Drosophila melanogaster: one gene and its partners. The protein of the gene in region 1 interacts with the protein of each later gene in a pairwise test. Each region holds a gene or a part of one and is shown in the gene's direction. Other genes may lie near its edges. The genes, in order: Cip4, WASp and Cdc42.

Evidence for each region.
Region 2: the proteins of Cip4 (region 1) and WASp interact in a two-hybrid assay, tested with the Drosophila melanogaster proteins (3 studies listed by BioGRID, with this or other methods).
Region 3: the proteins of Cip4 (region 1) and Cdc42 interact in a two-hybrid assay, tested with the Drosophila melanogaster proteins (one study listed by BioGRID).

What each region holds. Positions count from the first base shown.
Region 1 is NT_037436.4:4,360,808-4,366,957, reverse strand, and holds the start of Cip4 (Cdc42-interacting protein 4), read left to right. Parts: upstream 1-2,983; 5' UTR 2,984-3,095; coding exon 3,096-3,210; intron 3,211-3,830; coding exon 3,831-3,931; intron 3,932-6,150. Other genes in the region: CG11342 (uncharacterized protein), read left to right, coding at 1-260; CG33514 (uncharacterized protein), read right to left, coding at 468-1,098, 1,158-1,462; mRpS6 (mitochondrial ribosomal protein S6), read right to left, coding at 1,748-2,146, 2,213-2,257.
Region 2 is NT_033777.3:28,828,855-28,835,004, reverse strand, and holds the start of WASp (WASp), read left to right. Parts: upstream 1-2,980; 5' UTR 2,981-3,187; intron 3,188-3,691; exon of another isoform or gene 3,692-3,786; intron 3,787-3,864; exon of another isoform or gene 3,865-4,011; intron 4,012-4,327; 5' UTR 4,328-4,386; coding exon 4,387-4,503; intron 4,504-6,150. Other genes in the region: Apc (APC-like), read left to right, coding at 1-1,770.
Region 3 is NC_004354.4:19,692,541-19,698,690, forward strand, and holds the start of Cdc42 (cell division cycle 42), read left to right. Parts: upstream 1-4,550; 5' UTR 4,551-4,612; exon of another isoform or gene 4,613-4,685; intron 4,686-5,394; 5' UTR 5,395-5,417; coding exon 5,418-5,705; intron 5,706-5,766; coding exon 5,767-6,054; 3' UTR 6,055-6,150. Other genes in the region: Mer (merlin), read right to left, coding at 1-417; CG14229 (uncharacterized protein), read right to left, coding at 2,027-2,324, 2,389-2,411. UniProt on the Drosophila melanogaster protein: Regulates mbt kinase activity and is also required to recruit mbt to adherens junctions. Together with mbt and Frl, regulates photoreceptor cell morphogenesis. Together with Frl, has a role in the neuronal development of mushroom bodies.

The sequences.
Region 1 (6,150 bases):
AAGGCCTGCGATTCTTTCTGCAAAAGCTCTCCAATCTGGCAGAGCTCCTGGTGGTGGAACCACAGCCCTGGAAATGCTATCAGAAAGCAGAGAGACGCCTGAAAAAAGCCGGAGAGATATTCCCTCTTTTCCTGGAACTTAAGTGGCGATCTGATGTGGATCTTCAGATACAAAAGTACCTGGAAGAGTCTTTGGACCGAAGAAAGATATTCAAATCCGCACCAACTAAATGGCAGCGAAAGATCTGCTTCTACAGATGATAATAAAAGCTAAAAGGACAATGTTTATATAGGAGAAACCTAAAACTGCTGCGAAGTATCGTAGCATATTCATGTATTCCTATATTATCATTCCTACTATTGGATTTTACAATTCAACTGATGCGAATGTGTTTTCTAGCCACTAAATTGGACAACTTTTTCAACTGGCTGATAAGAAAATAAAATCTTTAAAGTTACAAACTGAAACTAGTCCACGTTGAGCTTTCTAAAGGAACCTTCTACTCCGAAAAGCCCCTCAAAATCGATTGGTTTTCCGGGACGCAGGCTCTCGTCGGTGCCGAAGTTCACATTTTCCTGGAAGAAATCGGCGTACTCGTCCAACTTCTTCTCCATGGCGGCCACGATGTCCTGCGTGGTGCCATTCTCGCCGCCGTATTCCTCGGGCAGATATTTCAGTGGAATCTGCTCCGTCAAGAGCCCCATTTTGTTGCCGTGCACAAATAGGCGAGACTGCATTTTCTTGGACATCATTGGCTTGAACATGTTGAACAGCTGCTCGAATCCGGTGATGGTGTTGATGAAATGCTGTGCCTTCAGACGCAGTGGAAGTGCCTCCTCCGAGAAGACAGTGAATTTCTTGGCCATCGACGGCGTCATCTGGAACAAGTGTGCGGCGGTGGCACCCTTCATGTCCATAATGAAAACTACTCCATTGACATTGGCGTAGTCGTCCTCCAAAATGGCAATCTCCTGCATTGCCTGGGCCACTTGCATGCACTCCAGCATTGTGTACTTCTCCACTGGCACCAATCCCATGCGCCAGATCCCGATGCGAGGTCCATTTTCATTCAGCGGAGTGGGCAGGTAGATGATGGCACTGAATTGACAGAATTGCATTGATAAATTAAATTAGTTAGCTGGCGTCAAAATCCTTACCCCGTTTGATGAATCTCCCGGAACTTGCTATCCGTGGTGTTGGTAACTCGGAAATAGTCCGGATACTTGGTCTTCAGCGTGTAGTACTTATCTAACTTGGACTTGGCCCGCTCCAAACTGTACTTGCAGCCGCGCAAGAAAGCCACCAGAAACTGATCATCCATTCGGGGATTTAGATGCGGCTGCTGCTCGATCCATGTCTTAAACGCCTGCAGATCGGCTTCGAGACGTTCGGGATCCTCCTTGAGCTGCTCCTTGGCAACTTTTTGCAGCTCTGGCGTAAGTGGACGGATTTGCGGTGACATTTCTAGGTCGTTTGCGGTCAGGAGGAAGTACTAGTGAACTGCTCGACGATTCTTGAGGCACTACCTGGACAATTTACGTTCTATTGATGGTCGATTATACGGAGCTTTATCAATTAATTGATAAGCGTCCGATTGGGCGCCATAAACCAAACAAAGACAAACATTGTGAAAAGTACTAAGATAACAGGCGCATTTCATAAGGAATGCTTCAGTTTGAATTAGCCAAAGATCGAGGAACCCACAACCGGTTTTAGCATACATAATTAACGCGTTTTATTTGGTGTTTTATTTTTGGAAGGGATAGTAGTCCAGGCCGGAGTTGTAGTTGAACTTCTTCTTTTGCTTCTTCTGGGCGGCCGCAATGATCTCCTGCACATCCTTGCGATACGCGGGTGGCAGCATCTCCTCGTGCAGCGTGCAGGGCTTCTGCTCGGGCTCCTCCACCTTGAAGATGTAGCGCCGTATGATGTCGATGTCGCGGCCAAACTCCTCCTTCAAGTCTGCGATCTTAGTGGGCGCCGTATCAAAGGCGATGGTGAAGTGGGTGCCTTCCCGGTGAACCACCCCGTGTTCGCTGACTTTGTGGGGCAGGGCGCGGGATCCCAGGTTCTCCAGCTTCCGGATAATGCCGCCCTTGTCCAGGATGGACTCGGCCGTTCGCCTAATCACGGAAATCAGTTCGGGCTGCGGGCGGTGTACAATTCTTATTTACTTTTATGTAACTGCCGGTGGATTTCATGTGCTACTCACGCGAGGCAATTGGCGGAGCACCAGTGCTAGTTCGTAAGAAGGCATTGTGACCGGTGAATTGTATGAGCTGGTAAGGAATTTAATTTCTTATATTAACGTTGTTTCTCTCAAGTTTTAATTCATTAAAAAGTTAGTAAATCTAATGTAATTGTTGACCCACCAGCTGATAGTGTTAACAGCTGATGCAAGGAAAGTACTAAAAATGATCTAGCGCCTGGCGCACATGCTTACACCTTACAGTGTGCCAAAATCTATTGCTCCAGTGAATTTAATGTTCAAATTAATATATTATATACAACAATAAGCGATGCTCTTGTTACTTTAAAAGCAATAAACAATAATAAGAAGTTTCTTCCAAGCTCAATAATAGCTTTCTTCATCTGTTTCAACGTTATGTTATTCCATAAAATTATTAGTTTTCAAGGCCACAATAATATATTTAAAAAGTCTACAATTAACGTTAAATTATAAAAAAAAATGGGGGCACGTATTAACGAAAGTTTCATATATTTTATATAATAATAATTAAACTTTACAGTTGCTCTCAATATGGGTTCATATCCCCGCTAGATGTTAAAGAGTTAGAAATTAGGTCGCCATCGGTCTCTGGTCACACTGCAAACGCAGAGGTGTGCCTATTCAAACACATTGCGGTCACACTGTGTATTGATGCCGAAGTGAAAAAACGAGCGGAAAGTTGCGAGCGGATAAAATTGTTTTTTCGCACGCCAAAAAGGAGAAACAAATGCTTGCGTTGTGTGAGTGCGGGTGTTTTAACTGTGTGCTTGTGTGTGTGTGCAAATGTCGCCCGAATTATGACGCATGCGAAAGTGCAGGCGCTAAATAAAACCCAAAATCGAAAGAAGTTGCAACTGCAAAGCAAATGCTAAAAAAAAAGTTAGCACAAATAACAAAAAAAAAAACGGTGGCAGATCTAGAAGCAGAGTGCGTGCATTCGGCAATTGCGTTTACTTGTGTGCGTGTGTGTGCGAAATTATGTAAATACAACAATAGTAGAATTCCAATTGTCCTCTCTTTCTGCTTTTCTCAATTATGAAATGCAGTTGCATCGCTCTCTATCTCTATCGCTCCCTCTCTCTCCTCACTCTCTTTGCGCATCGAAATGCCAGTGCATAGAATTTTCTTATTTTGCACTTATCACTAAACAACTCCCAAAAAAAGTGTTTAAATTCTCATTATCTATAATTTCCTTCAACTTCATTTTTCTACCTGCCGCTGCAACTGACACGTCTGCATTGCCACTCTTTTTTGTTTTTACATGCTTTCTTACCTGCCCAACCACCGAAAAAAAAAAAAACAAAAATGAAATATATCTGACTCGAATTGCTCTCTTTCATAGAAAATTAAACATCGCGCCGCGCAACGCTGAAAAAAATATAGAAAAACAAACGGAAAATGAAAACGAAAAAGCAGCCATAAAATTAATTAACCTTTGCGGGAAAATATAAAACAAAAACGAATAAAAGTTCTCATCTTTTGCTCTTCTCCCTCGCTTTCTACCTTTCTCCCTCTCTCCTCATCGTCTGTGGATTACATTATCTTCTGTGGATTATTATTATTAAAACAACAACAACAACGACGGCAACAACAAATACAGTGGCAAGCGGATCGAGCAGAAGCAGCAGCAACAACAAACTGGCCGAATCGGAAAACTCAGCGCAAAACTCCAACAACATGAGTTGGGGCACCGAGCTATGGGTGAGTTTTTCCTGGATTTAGAGGGGCTATATCTTCAGATAAGAAGTCGTATTTCATTGATAAAACAGGGGGTTCCTATAAGCAACAAATACATAGTTCTGCTTGTTTGAGGAGTATGAATGTATACCTATAGCTAAAAATCAAAACAAATTCGTAGTTTAGCTTGATCAGAATCATTAAGGTGTCCATTACCAGCTCAAAGAAGCTGGGGTCGGAAAAATCGAATTTTTGAAATTTGAAAGCTGGAATCGTTTGCCCATTTTTTGCCCATGTTTGCCCACCAATTAGTTTTTTTTGCCCACGTCCAGTTTTTGAGATATGAATTTTCGAAAAAGTTCGAAAATTTTCGAAAATCAAAAATTTCGCTTTTTTCAAATTTTTTTTTTTTAAATCGCAATAACATCGTTTGCCCACGTTTGCCCACCCTTTAGAATTTTGAAAAAATTTATACTTTAGAAAATATAAGGCTTTTAAGTTTACCTCGGTCTAATCAGAGAGTAAATCGTTTGCCCATCTCTTAAAACCAAATATTATCAACAAAAAACGTTTGCCCAACCATTATTATTAGTTTTTATCGTTTGCCCACCCTTTAAAAAACCTTTAACAAAAATTTTTTTTCGATTGCCCACACTTGAAATACAACTAATTTCGTTAGCCCACCTCTTCAAAATAAAACTTTTCAATAAAAAACGTTTTCCCACCATTTAAAAATAAATAATTTCGATTGCCCACCTTTTAAAACTAAATAATTTCGTTTGCCCATCCTTTAAAATTCATTTTTAACGTTTGCCCACCCTTTAAAATTTGTTTTTTTCGTTTGCCCACCTCTTAAAAATGGTTTTTTCGATTTTTCACCTATTAAAACTAAATTTGTACATATGTACATATGTAATAATTGTAAGATGTGGCGCCAAAAGCACAGTTACTTACAAAAGAACAGTTATTTACATATTTACATACATTTTCAATATATCCATAGTGTTAATCATTCATGAATTGTAACATCAATTTTTCTTAATCATTGTTTCATTTCATGGAAAATATTTTATATTGCAATATAATATATATGCAAAAAAATGTATGTATGTTTATCAACACTCTCCAAGCTCAAGAAAATTCTGGAATAAAATATTTTCCATGAAATGAAACAATGATTAAGAAAAATTGATGTTACAATTCATGAATGATTAACACTATGGATATATTGAAAATGTATGTAAATATGTAAATAACTGTTCTTTTGTAAGTAACTGTGCTTTTGGCGCCACATCTTACAATTATTACATATGTACATATGTACAAATTTAGTTTTAATAGGTGAAAAATCGAAAAAACCATTTTTAAGAGGTGGGCAAACGAAAAAAACAAATTTTAAAGGGTGGGCAAACGTTAAAAATGAATTTTAAAGGATGGGCAAACGAAATTATTTAGTTTTAAAAGGTGGGCAATCGAAATTATTTATTTTTAAATGGTGGGAAAACGTTTTTTATTGAAAAGTTTTATTTTGAAGAGGTGGGCTAACGAAATTAGTTGTATTTCAAGTGTGGGCAATCGAAAAAAAATTTTTGTTAAAGGTTTTTTAAAGGGTGGGCAAACGATAAAAACTAATAATAATGGTTGGGCAAACGTTTTTTGTTGATAATATTTGGTTTTAAGAGATGGGCAAACGATTTACTCTCTGATTAGACCGAGGTAAACTTAAAAGCCTTATATTTTCTAAAGTATAAATTTTTTCAAAATTCTAAAGGGTGGGCAAACGTGGGCAAACGATGTTATTGCGATTTAAAAAAAAAAAATTTGAAAAAAGCGAAATTTTTGATTTTCGAAAATTTTCGAACTTTTTCGAAAATTCATATCTCAAAAACTGGACGTGGGCAAAAAAAACTAATTGGTGGGCAAACATGGGCAAAAAATGGGCAAACGATTCCAGCTTTCAAATTTCAAAAATTCGATTTTTCCGACCCCAGCTTCTTTGAGCTTCCATTACCTCCTATATTCTTGGATATTAAAGAGGCGCTTATCTTCAGATAGGCTATATATATTGAAAGGCTCCAAACCTAAAATATAGATAGAAACGACAACATTGGTCTTATTAAGAAATTGTAAGCACTCATCAAAAATTACAAATTGCAAGCCACACAATTTTAATTAATTAAACATTTTTGTTTTGCCAAGCACTTGGTAAATGCAATTAAACTTCTCAAATATTTTACAACTAC
Region 2 (6,150 bases), on another chromosome or scaffold:
GATAATATTCGTCCGCCGTCGGGAATGGAATCGCTGAACAGCTGCTACCAGGATCACTCCCAGCCTAGTTCTCTGCGCCAGGCGATGCCCAGCAAGAGTCCACGCTTCGCGCGAAAAATGTTTCCAGCCAATTTGGTAGCCAGACGAGCACTGGGTCACTTAGCTGGCAGTGCGGAGAGCGTGAACTCCAGCTGCAACCTGCTGGACAACATCAAGCCTCCGTCACTGATGGATGAGCTGCTGGACTCGATGATCAGTGTGGACAGCATTCAATCTGAGGTGGCCGATGGCGAGCAGGACTGCAGCATGGCCACCACCATTTCCGTGTCCAACTATGAGACGGCTGCTTGCGATGATCAGACGATGACCGTGCTCCAAAGTTGTTTCGACGAGGATGAGGATGCCACAATGAATGACTACAGCTCGGCCGAGTCCACACCCAAGCACGGATCTACTCCATCACCCAATCGTCGTTCCCTCACACCGAAAGACAAGCGACGTCTCACAAAGGATCGCTTCAAGACCTACACCATAGCCACCAGCTGCGAGATGGAAGCACCAGAGGCCAATGAAACTTTGCAGATAGAAATTGTGGAAGCTGCCGTTCCTGTGGCCACGCCATCGCCACGCGCCAATGGAAGGAGAAGGGGCAGTGCGGAGCGGTACAAGACCCAACTGATTGAATGTCCCCTGGCTTTGATACAACCCCAACCCGATGATTGCCCAAGCGAACAGCTCTCCTCAATTCGAGCAATGATGCAACAGTTCACTTTCATCACGGACATTAACATTGGACACAGTCAGGAGACTTGCGAGAGTACTGATCATCCAGAAGACGCAGGGGAATCCCCGGAGTGCGATCAGAACTCTGAGACGGAGTCGTGCGATGGTCAGGAACCGGATCAGCTGCCTCCTCCTCCGTCAATTGTGGACCTTAGAACATCAGTCGTTAAGCCCACAACCTTGGAGCCCGCCACGGCCGTAAAACTGGTGCGAGGTCGCAAGAAACCAGCCTATGTCTCACCCTACAGCATGCAAAGTCAACGGAATAGCAACAATGCCGCCCCGTCCAAGAAGAAAACCCTATCTCCAACAATTGCCAAACGAAGTCTGGTGCCCGGCGGTTCAGGAGTTAGGTTACCAGCGAAAAAGAAGCCGACGCCGCCGCCTGAGCCGGCACCCGCACGCTTGGAACGCCAGGGAACCTTTGTCAAGGACGAGCCCACTAACTCCAATGTTCAAGTGCCCGTGGTGGAGACAAAACCGGCTCAAACCAGTCCCACTCACCGCGCCTCGAAGTTACCCACAAAGAAAGGCACGGCCAGCGGTGGGTCACCATCGAAAGCGGGCTCTCCCAAGAGGATTCCCTTGGCGCCGGCCCGCCGAATGACGCCTCAAAGGGCAAACACCAGTCTGCGACTAGCTGCGGGCAAATCTCACGCTGCCTCACGTGTGGTCTCCGGCCGCGTGTCGTCCACTACTCCACCATCCCGCAGCAACTCCAACCTAAATGGAAGCAGTGCAGCCGCAGCAGCTGCGGCCAAGATCAACCATGCGCAAAGTCGTATCGCCAACATCTGGAAGAGAGTGGACGAGGCCAAAACCAAGCAATCGTCATCCAACCTGAGGACGCAGAAAACCAAATCTTCCAACATGCTCAACGCAAATGGAACCAAGCCGACGCTCCTGCGCAGCTCCACGTTTGACAATACCCCCAGCACCGCTGGAGGAGTCAAGTCCAAGCTGCCAGTGGTGGGCGCGCGGAAATAGAGGGTTAATTTGTTCAGGATAGTATGGATCACAAATTAGCCAAGTTAAAGCGAAAACGGAAGTGGAGATTGTAAGAGGAACAGGACTGTATTTGTCAAGCATTTTTTAGGAACCGAACACGCACAGGTCCACATCCACAAGCCGAGCTAGAGTCAGAGTCAAAATCAAAGAGTTTTTAGGATAGGAGTTAATATACATACGCTATGTAATCCATATTTTACTCTCCTTTTACTTTATACATTATACGTAGACCCTAAAACTTTGTAAGCAACCAGTTTAGCATAGAGTTAGCGCAAACTCCTAGTAACTTCAACTTATCCAAATCACAGTCAGAGAAGGAAGCTCCCGATGCTCCCGATCGTGTGTAGCCAAATGTATTGCATATATATACACAAAATCAGGCCTTTCAACATGTGTACAACTACCCAATATATACAAAATGTATACTGGCATATATATAAATGCTATATATTCGATTGTCGCATTAACTAGGAAAGGTTTACCAAGTCGAATGTCTGTTCTGATTTAACTTTTTTAACACTTAGTTAGATGAGCTGTCCTCCAACTGGTGAGCTACTGAAATCAATTACAATCATATAGTTGCACATCTTTATTGAGAATATACTCTAAGTTTAAAATATGCCCCTGGCTTCCTTATGCAAACACCAAATATCTGAAGAGAGAAGAAATTCACATTTTTTAGTCACTGCTTTTTAAGTATTCTTTTATATAATTTAGCAAGTTAAGGGTAACTGTTTTAGGAAACAGCTTATGCATTAAGCTCATCATTTGCGACTTAGTTTTTACCGATTCAATGCGATTAACCATTTTCAATATGAATAAATCGAAATATGCTTTTTGTCAGCAAAAAATTAAACCAATGTGAATTTACTCGATTATAATTTATATCAAAATAAAACATATTTTGAAAGCCAGATGAACAAATATTTATTCGAATTTACGGGCGTGGTAAACAAAATCAAATTTAACGGAAAAGATAACATAAATGAAAAAATATACTATTCCCACAGCTCTCCACTCGCGATTTCTTAACGGAATTGCCTGAAACTTTTTGATAAACTTTTAAGCGGAACTAGTGATGGGCAAAATTGAAAAGTCTCGAGCATGGTCTGCACAGGGCCTTGGCAGAGCTTGATGCATATTTTAGGAAATTATCGAAAGGATAGTATTTTTAGCCTATCGCCTTTTTCGGTCGGTCACACTGGCAGCAATTGAATTGGAGTGAAAAAAAATAAATGAATAAACAAACTAGCATTGCGTCCGGGAACAGACGAATAATCAACCGAGGAACACTCGTTTTCAACGCCATGCACTCGATGACGCGGACGCGCGCACAGTAGAGCCTCCCGATAAGAGTCCCGGAATCCGCAAGGCCAGAGACTACACAGATTTTGTGGTGTGTTGTGTTGTGTGTGGGAAAAAAACGAAAGAGTGAAGAGCAGTGCACGAAAATAAACGCAAAAAATCAATGGGCGACCCCCCCAGCAGAGCAGCTCACAAGGGAAATTCGAGACCTTGAGTAGGGCAGCACATCATCCCATCCCATCCAAGCCGAACCAACCCAACCCATGAACTTACTCCCAATCCGCAGCAGCGTCTGTCTATTTACATTTGCATTTTCACCCCACCTGGCGCGACGACGGACAGGTGTTGTCACAAATCTTGGAGCTACGGAGTGGCGCACAGTGGGGTGGATTGGCTGGTGGCTTGTGGCGAGTGCCGAATGTTGAGTAACCCAGACCACTGTGCATGTATCACACATAGATACATGCGCACACCTAATCAGTGCTTTTCGCCAAAGATAAGGGCTCTTTTCGAAGAGTTTGCCACTGGCCTGGCTTTTGCCCACATTCAAACGCAGCTGGCTGGCTTGCTGGCTGACTGTTTCTGTTTCTGCTTCTGATTTCCGACTCTCGGGCACCGTGACTCAGACCAGGCGATCCGCTCGCAGCCCCGCCGACACCATAACCAGCTACATCGTCATAGCCAGCGCAGGTCTCGGTCTCTCTCGCTCGCGCTCTTGGCCGTAATTCGGGCTGAAAACCATTCAAAACCGTAAAGACAATACTGTCAATCGATTCAGCAGTCCCAAAACCATAATTCTTCGATCCCAAATCGGGTTATTCGCAACACACTTCGGACTCCGTTGCTCAAACTCTCTGTAGATCGGAGTTTTTACAAGCTGTACACTGTACAAAAAAATAGGCAGCCTATCCAAGTGTAGTTATCTTTTTATATTCGAAGGCGTTGACTGCAATAATTCATTTAAACGTTAAATATTATACAGTTTCTGAACTCTTTAGTATATTTATGGGAGCTCAAACTTTTCATATTGTATCGTCAACCCTACGATCCCAAACTTTTGTTCACTCTATCGAAGTTCAACTGTTACTCCGTGTGCCTTTATTGTTATGAACTTTTTACTTTTTCGGGGTCCCCAGCGTTTTGTGATATTAAATTAATACATTTAGCTTTTGTTCATTTGCGTATTGTTTTCGCCACACAATAAAATGCGTATTGTGTCCGTATTGTGCAGGGAAACCAGCCCAGATCCCCATATCCAGCACCAGACCCAGATCCAACGAAACCGGCCAGATGAGCAGCGGAATGAGGTCGCAGGACGGTCCACGGGCGAAGGTCAATGCCGCCAGTACGCTGCTCACCCAGGAGGAGAATGAGGCCGTCTTCAAGCTGCTGGGCAAGAAGTGCCAGGTGAGTCGAGTACTGATGATGCATAATGCCCCCAATCGGGTGATTAATAATTAAGCAATGACATGGTTTGTGTTCCTCCGCCTTCGCCGAGCAAATCCCACGGCTTGATGAAGCACTTCCTGCGGCTCAAGTGTCGCCCATCGTGTGCGAATTTCACTCGAAGCACAGTAACCCTATATCATAATATCATTCTACGGTCTACGGGCAGCTGCCTGTCATATTTACCAAATTTCACTTGCACACTGCCCAACATAGTTGAATGGTTTCTTTGCCCATTTAAAGATGGCACCGGAAGCTAAACTGTGAACAAAATTAGAGTTCTATGCACTATAGTTAGTTGGTCAGCTATAAAACTTGCATGGGAGTATCGTACACATTATTAGCTTTGGTTTTGATTGAAAGACATACTCTTTTGCTGGAAAGTCTACTTGAGTCAGTGCAGATAACCATTTAGATTAATGTTCTCTGTACTATACAAAAAAAAAACAAGATGAATCATTGTTACACAGATGTTTTATGGTGCCCATACATACATATGTAGGTTACAACTTATTGGGCACTATTCTCGTATTAAATGCTCATTAAGAAATTAGGAGTATATAAGGAATAAATAATATTCATTCAGATCAGAGTCCGAATGTGCTGGCCAGTGTTACTAGAGCAATTTGTTAGACTTTGTTAACATTACTAATATTTACCTAGCATTTCTTAGAGCCTCTATCAGCAAACGGCTTGAGCCGGCATTGATAGGCCACAAGCGCAGTTGTTTGCACTTCTTGATTAGTTTTTTATTTCCAACTCTATTCCTTCGTAGTATTGGGGTGCCAAAGCCGATTGTGGTGCGAAACGAAAGAGAAACCATTAGTTTGGCCCATTGGGTCGTGATAAGAGTGGGGGTACATATAGTATTTGAGGCGAAATACAGACGAACCTTATCTTATCAATCCGCCCGCCCAATGCGAATCACCGGCCAATGCCAAGTGCGATAAGAATGCCCTGAAATTGGAGTGGAAACTTGGAATGTGGTCATTTAACGGCGGCCGTTGTGCGGATAATTATGGTGTGCACAACATGGGAAAATCGCTAATTTCGATTCGCAATTCACGCTTTGCTAATTCGCAACTTTCCATTGACAAAACATTTCCAAATGCATTTGAACTCTGCCAAAGTAATGCAACCAGTGGGCTGGTTAAGGCAGTTGGCCCCTTTTGAAGACACTCAGAAAGGCACTACCAATCCATTTCTCATATTTTTAGTCTCTGCTTTTGATTCACTGAAGCTACGGGTATTGGGCAAGTCAATGAAAACGTTCGGGGATTTGTAAATTATGTCATTAATCCCACATCTTTCGTTTGCCCTGCTCTGCTCTCTGAGATAAAGAAAGAGATTACCTGGTGGAAAATATTCAATCAATCACCAAACCATATCTTGTTTTCACCGTATCGAATGCTGCCCGTCTTTGTGCGATATCGTGTGATAACACACAAAGCTGCAGCTTAGCAAACCCGATGTTGTTATTGTGGTTTGGCAGTCGCTTGTCGCTTGTCGCAACTCTTGCTCGCATTTATTTGTATACACTTATTTAACGCATTTTTCTGCACAGGCCAAACTTTCTAATTGATGTTTATGTTTGGATAGTGTACACTT
Region 3 (6,150 bases), on another chromosome or scaffold:
CGCGTAGGAGGCCAGCAGCACGGACGCCTCCGGGCGGCAGTAGATGTCCATGGAGAGGATGCTCTGCTTGACCTGCAGGAAGAACAGGTGCTGCGTGATCTCCTGGATCAGCTCCTCGCTGACGTTCTCCGGAAAGAACTTGGCGTAGAAGCTAAACACATACACATTATTGCTAGCGTGCAGCTCAACGCGCTGGTCGCGCACCCGCTTCTCCATTTTCAGCCAGGACACGTTGCTGCGGGTGTCGACGTACTGCAGCCCAAAGTACCAAGACTCGCGCAGCCCGATGGTGCGGCACACCAGGTCGAACAGATCCTGGCCGGAGGCGCGCGGCTCCAGCTTGAACTCCAGCTCCGAGTCGAAGGTGCTCACCCGCACCGACAGGGATCGGTTTTTCTTGGAGCCGAAGGGGCTCATCGCGATTATGTGATGTGTTTTGATTAGATTCGACGCAATGTGATGTGATGCGTTAGATGCAATTGGATTGGAGTGGGAACTGAGTGCTCTTGTGGGCAATTCGTGATAACCTGTTGCGTGCAAAGGACTTGTTGCTCCTGCTAATCTGATTCTTGGTCCTTCTGGTGCTCCTGTGCCATCTAGTGGCACGATTCCTTGTTGCTGCTCCTGCGGTCCTCGCCTATCGCGGACTGCCTCATTTTGCAGCCAATTCGGTGCTCCGGGCAATGGCAATGGCAATTTGGGCTGATGGCTGTGAGCGGAAAGAAAGAAAGAGTAAGGCTCTTCGTTTATGCGGCGCTGCGATTTAAGAACTGCGTGGCCACGGCATCCTGGCGCCCACTATTCAACCGCTCACCCAGCTCCTTTGGCGTGGAAGCTGATTGAGGGTCGGCAGAAGGGTCTCCACATCGACCAAGTACGAGAATAGGCAACTTACTCGATTGTTTGCACCGCGAATCGCAATTGTACGACAAATTCCCGATATGCGCGACATAAACATAGACAGTGTGACCAGCCGTTAGATGCAGAAAAATCAGCTTTGGCAGACGCCTTGTATATTTAGTAGGGTGATTCCATTTCAATTTTATGGAGGAATCATAATGCTTAAATTAATCCATCTCAAACGACATAAAGCATTGAAATGTCAATATATGCACATGAAAACATATTAAATACCTTAAAAATATATTAACTTTCCATTTTCCAAAAGTTTTCAAAAACTGGCAAAACAGTGGTAGTCCAAATACCAAAATATACCGCAATATGTTTTTTCAAATTGTACACTCATTTTTAGTTATACGAATTTTTGAATGCTGCGAAATAGATTTGATCAGCTATTTGATGAAAGATGAATTAACTAAAATAACACAGTGCTATATAGAGTTGCCACCCTGTCAATGGTCACGAATTGGGAAAATGAAGTCCTTGAGCGCAATATTTGTTTTAAAGATTTGTCTAAGGATGAGATGTATTACTATGTAAATGTTTATTGGACGTATTCTTGTATTGCAGGTCCATGCTTAAATTCTCGGAATAAGCAAAATGACCATGTCAGCAGATGCGTATATAAACAATGAATAAGTCCAGCTTTCGTTTTATCAGGTCCCTGTAGCTTATTTTCCATCTCCACCGACTCAGCAATGAACTTGTACCCCCCTGGATATCGTATTTCATCGAAATAGGAAAATATAAAGATATGGAGGTTTTCTTACATTATTCTTAGAATAAATTATACATGCAGGATTATAAATACATATTGAAGGGATGGTAACCGATGAACATAGTTTATATATATTCATGTGCGTGTTTGGGGGACTCTTAGCTCAATTTATACTACTATTATTATGTGTATGCATCAGGGGTGATGCTAATGCCATGCAAGTAAACAATGCTTATCACACAAACGCAAGTGACTCCAGACACGGATATCCGAATCCGTGCGCAGAGAAGACTGAACGGAGGCGAATTACTTTGAACCTAGAGAGAGTGTTGCTGCAGATAACTCGTGTTGGCACTTAAATGGCTGTGCCAGGACTTGGACTCGCACACCGGAATCCATGATCACTAGCTACTGGCTGCTCCGCTTGATGCGCTCGACATGCAGGTCGTACAGCATCTTGTTCTTCTCGTAGTAAAATGGGTTTTGTTCGGCTCCCAGTTCTGGGTTGTATTCGTATCCGGCCGCCACACCGTTTCCGGCTGCATCGGACCCGCCGGATCCACCAGTCGCTCCTCCTCCCGACAGTGGCGGAATGCTGCAGCTGCTGCTGCTGCTGCTGTTCCCATCCTCGTAGTTCAGATTCAGGTTGTTGATGCGCTTCGAAAGGGGCGACTCGCAGGCCAGTTCATCCTCCCGGCTGCGCTTTCTGTGGAGGAATGGTGTGCGTTTGATTAGCGCTGGGACCTCACTACCTTGGTCAAGGTGATTACCTTGTCTTCAGGAATCCAGCCATTCCGATCCCGGGGCCAGTGCAGTGTGTTGGTTTCGGTTCCTATTGGTCAATTGTTTTGTCCTGCCCCGTTTCACAGCAGCGACATCCACCAGTGTGACTGCCTCGAAGTTCGAAATTGGCTGTGGGATATACCAATGGGTTGTGCTAAATATACCGCTAATCGAGGTTTGTTTTTTCTTAAATGGAAATCACAAATAGCCAACCCAAACAGCAGATATTGTTAAGAAAACCGAGATTATATTGTATCCAAACAAATAGAATATTTTTGGGAGGGAGGGATAAAGTGAATCTAAAAGTTGTCTCAGTGACAAATAGCGCCAAGTGAGAATATTTTATACCCAACAATTACTTCACGATGACACGATGAATACAGCTGCGGTTAAAATAATAACACTACTGCAGGTGGAAAGTTGATTTACCAAAAAAAATAATTAAATGTTTTATTTTTTTAAGTCAGATTGCATGAATAATAAGAACCATATGTTGTCTCTCTGAGCAAGAAATTTTTACTCTCTCAATGTAACGGTTCTTTTTGTTTTTGGGCACTTGCTGTGGTAACAAAAATAGCACCGATCACGTATTTGCTGAATACAATTAATAGGAGTGATTGCTTTGGGTTTTTTTTTCGACAAATTTTGAAAAAAGGAGTTGCAATAAAGGTTTTAATTGAATTTTTTCCAAACGAAGACAAAAAATTCTCTAGTCATGGGTCGCGGAAAGCATTGTACCGTCGAAAAAAGAAATTTGATTAAAAACATGATTTCTGAACGTAAAACCTACGCTGAAATTGGTCGCATTGTCGGTTGTTCAAACAAAATGATCCGCAAAGCACTGCTGTTTGTCGAAAAGAAGGAAACACGGCGAAGAGAGCCCTCAATGTCCAACGTGGAGATCAAGCGCTTGGTTTGGCAAAGCAAGAAGGAGTCTTTTAAGCCGGCGACGGAACTGAAGAAGGAGCTTCAGATAGCTGCAAGCGTGGAAACAGTTCGCAAACGCTTAAGACAAAACAACCTTAATGCGTGCAGCCCCAAAAAAGTACCGCTTTTGACTGTGAAGCATGTGGCAAAGCGAATCGAATATGCCAAGATACACAAGGACTGGCCTATGGAGAAGTGGTGCAACATTTTGTGGTCAGATGAGATCAAAATTGTGTTGTTTGGTGGGAAAGGCTCTCGGTCTTATGTTCGGCGTCCACCACGACGTCCACCACTAAATATAATCCTCGCTTCACCTTTAAGTCGGTAAAAAACGGGGGATCAAGCATCATGGTATGGGCGTGCTTTTCATGGTATGGAGTAGTTCCAATCCATTGGATTCAAAGCATCATGGATCAGCACATTTACTGTCATATGCCGAGGATGAAATGCCGTTGGTTTGGACATTTCAACAGGATAACGACCCAAAACACACGAGCAAGAAAGCTCAAAGTGGTTTGAGCAGAAGTAGATCCGAGTAATGAAATGGCCTGCTCAGTCACCCGACTTGAATCCAATCGAAAACCTTTGGGCGGACGTGAAAAAAGGGTTTCTGAAGCCAGACCCAATAATAACGAGGAATTTTGGGGTGTGGTCAAGGATTCAGGAAGCAAAATTCCTCAAAAACAGTGCCAGGACTTGGTGGAGTCCATGCCAAGACGATGTCCAGCTGTCATTACCAGCATAGGTCACGCAACCAAATATTAAGATTCTTTAAACATAGTTTTTAAGATATAATCCGTTTGTTTAAATTTTTTTAAAAATTTTTTAAAAAATTTTTTTATTTAGTTTTGGCAAACTACAAGAAACAGTGCTATTTTTGTTACCGCCTAAATTTGAAGGTTTTTTTTTGTTTTACCAATTATTTTATCCATTAGATCTGTTACTAATTTTTTTATTTCGATTGAAAATCATTGTAGTATTTAAGTTTAGTGAGTAAAATGATGAAAAAGTGTCAGAAAATACAGAAACACTGGGACAAACACGAAATCCGCTTATTATTGTTACCGCAACTGTATGCAGTATATTGGTCCCGCTCTGCCCGATCGGTCGGATATATAGCCCTTACAGTGACAGAGAACTTCCACCGAAAATACCAACATACCGATTGCGATGCAAGCCGGGTGGGAGTACTGCGACGGGATGGCAACGCCGCGCTAGTCACTCGCACGCAAAGAGCTCGCTGGAGAGAGAGAACGCTAACACAAAAGGAAATAGTAGTTTTCCGTACGTATCGAGCCCAGCCCAGAAAAGCGGAAAACTAAACGGATTCGACAGCGGTTGCAAATTTTAAATAACTGTAAGTAAGGCGGAAAAGGTGCCCGCAACGAGCATCCGCCGTATAGATCGCAACGCGTTTCAATTTGCCCAGTGAAAAGTGAATGAAAACCAAATGTCGATGACGGGCCTGCCTGCCTGTGTGTGTGTGTCATATGTGCGTGTGGTCCGTGCCGCAGTGTGCGTGTGTGATAAATAATTGCTTCCAAATTTCTTTAGTTTTTTGTCTGCAAATCTCGTCTAAAATCCGACTATAGCTAAAAACAGGGGGCAGCTCCAGCAGCTGACTGGGCGGCCAGTCCCGTGACCAAATAAACCATCATAAAGCCAGTAATAGTGCAGCAAAAACTGCATTAGACCAAGTGAACACGCACCGCACACACACAACCGCAAGCTGCCGTACTCGCTGCGCCCCTGCGCGCAAGTGTTTGCGTGTATGTGTGTCCAATCAGAATTTTCTGATGCCCGTCCGGCTTATCTGTGTGCGCCGTTGCTTTCCATTCTTTCCGTTCTTTCTTCGGCTTGAGTCATCGCTCATTCTGCCCAGATATGTACATATGTACATTGCACACACACTGCCGCCCCGCTCTCCTGGGCTCCGCTCCTCCTCGTTGATAAGGCGCCGCTGGCGAACGGTCACTCTGGCAGGAGTACGAGCAGGAGCAGGGAAGCCGCACCCACTAGTCATCCCCCCAGTGTAATCCGGCAAACTAACCCCCACTAATCCGCAGGAGTCATCACCCCTCTGCACAACATGCAAACCATCAAGTGCGTGGTCGTCGGCGACGGAGCCGTGGGTAAGACATGCCTGCTCATCTCGTATACAACCAACAAGTTCCCGTCGGAGTACGTGCCCACGGTGTTCGACAACTATGCGGTCACTGTGATGATCGGCGGTGAGCCCTACACACTGGGCCTGTTCGATACGGCCGGACAGGAGGACTACGATCGGCTGCGTCCGCTCTCCTATCCGCAGACGGATGTCTTCCTTGTCTGCTTTTCGGTGGTCAGTCCCAGTTCCTTCGAGAACGTCAAGGAGAAGGTACGTACAAGACTATTCTACGCCATGGCGAGACTGTAAGTGAGTCATTTTGCATTTGCAGTGGGTGCCCGAGATTACACACCATTGCCAAAAGACGCCGTTCCTGCTGGTGGGCACACAGATTGATTTGCGCGACGAGAACAGCACGCTGGAGAAGCTGGCCAAGAACAAGCAGAAGCCCATCACCATGGAGCAGGGCGAGAAGCTGGCCAAGGAGCTGAAGGCCGTCAAGTACGTGGAGTGCTCGGCCTTGACACAGAAGGGCCTGAAAAATGTATTCGACGAGGCCATCCTGGCCGCCCTCGAGCCACCAGAGCCCACAAAGAAAAGGAAGTGCAAATTCTTATAATTCTGCTTTCCTCACACGCGGTATCCCTTTCATTCTGGCTTTCTACTATCGCAATGACTCCTTCCCAGCCTCCCGTCGTCGAGAAGCATTCAATAT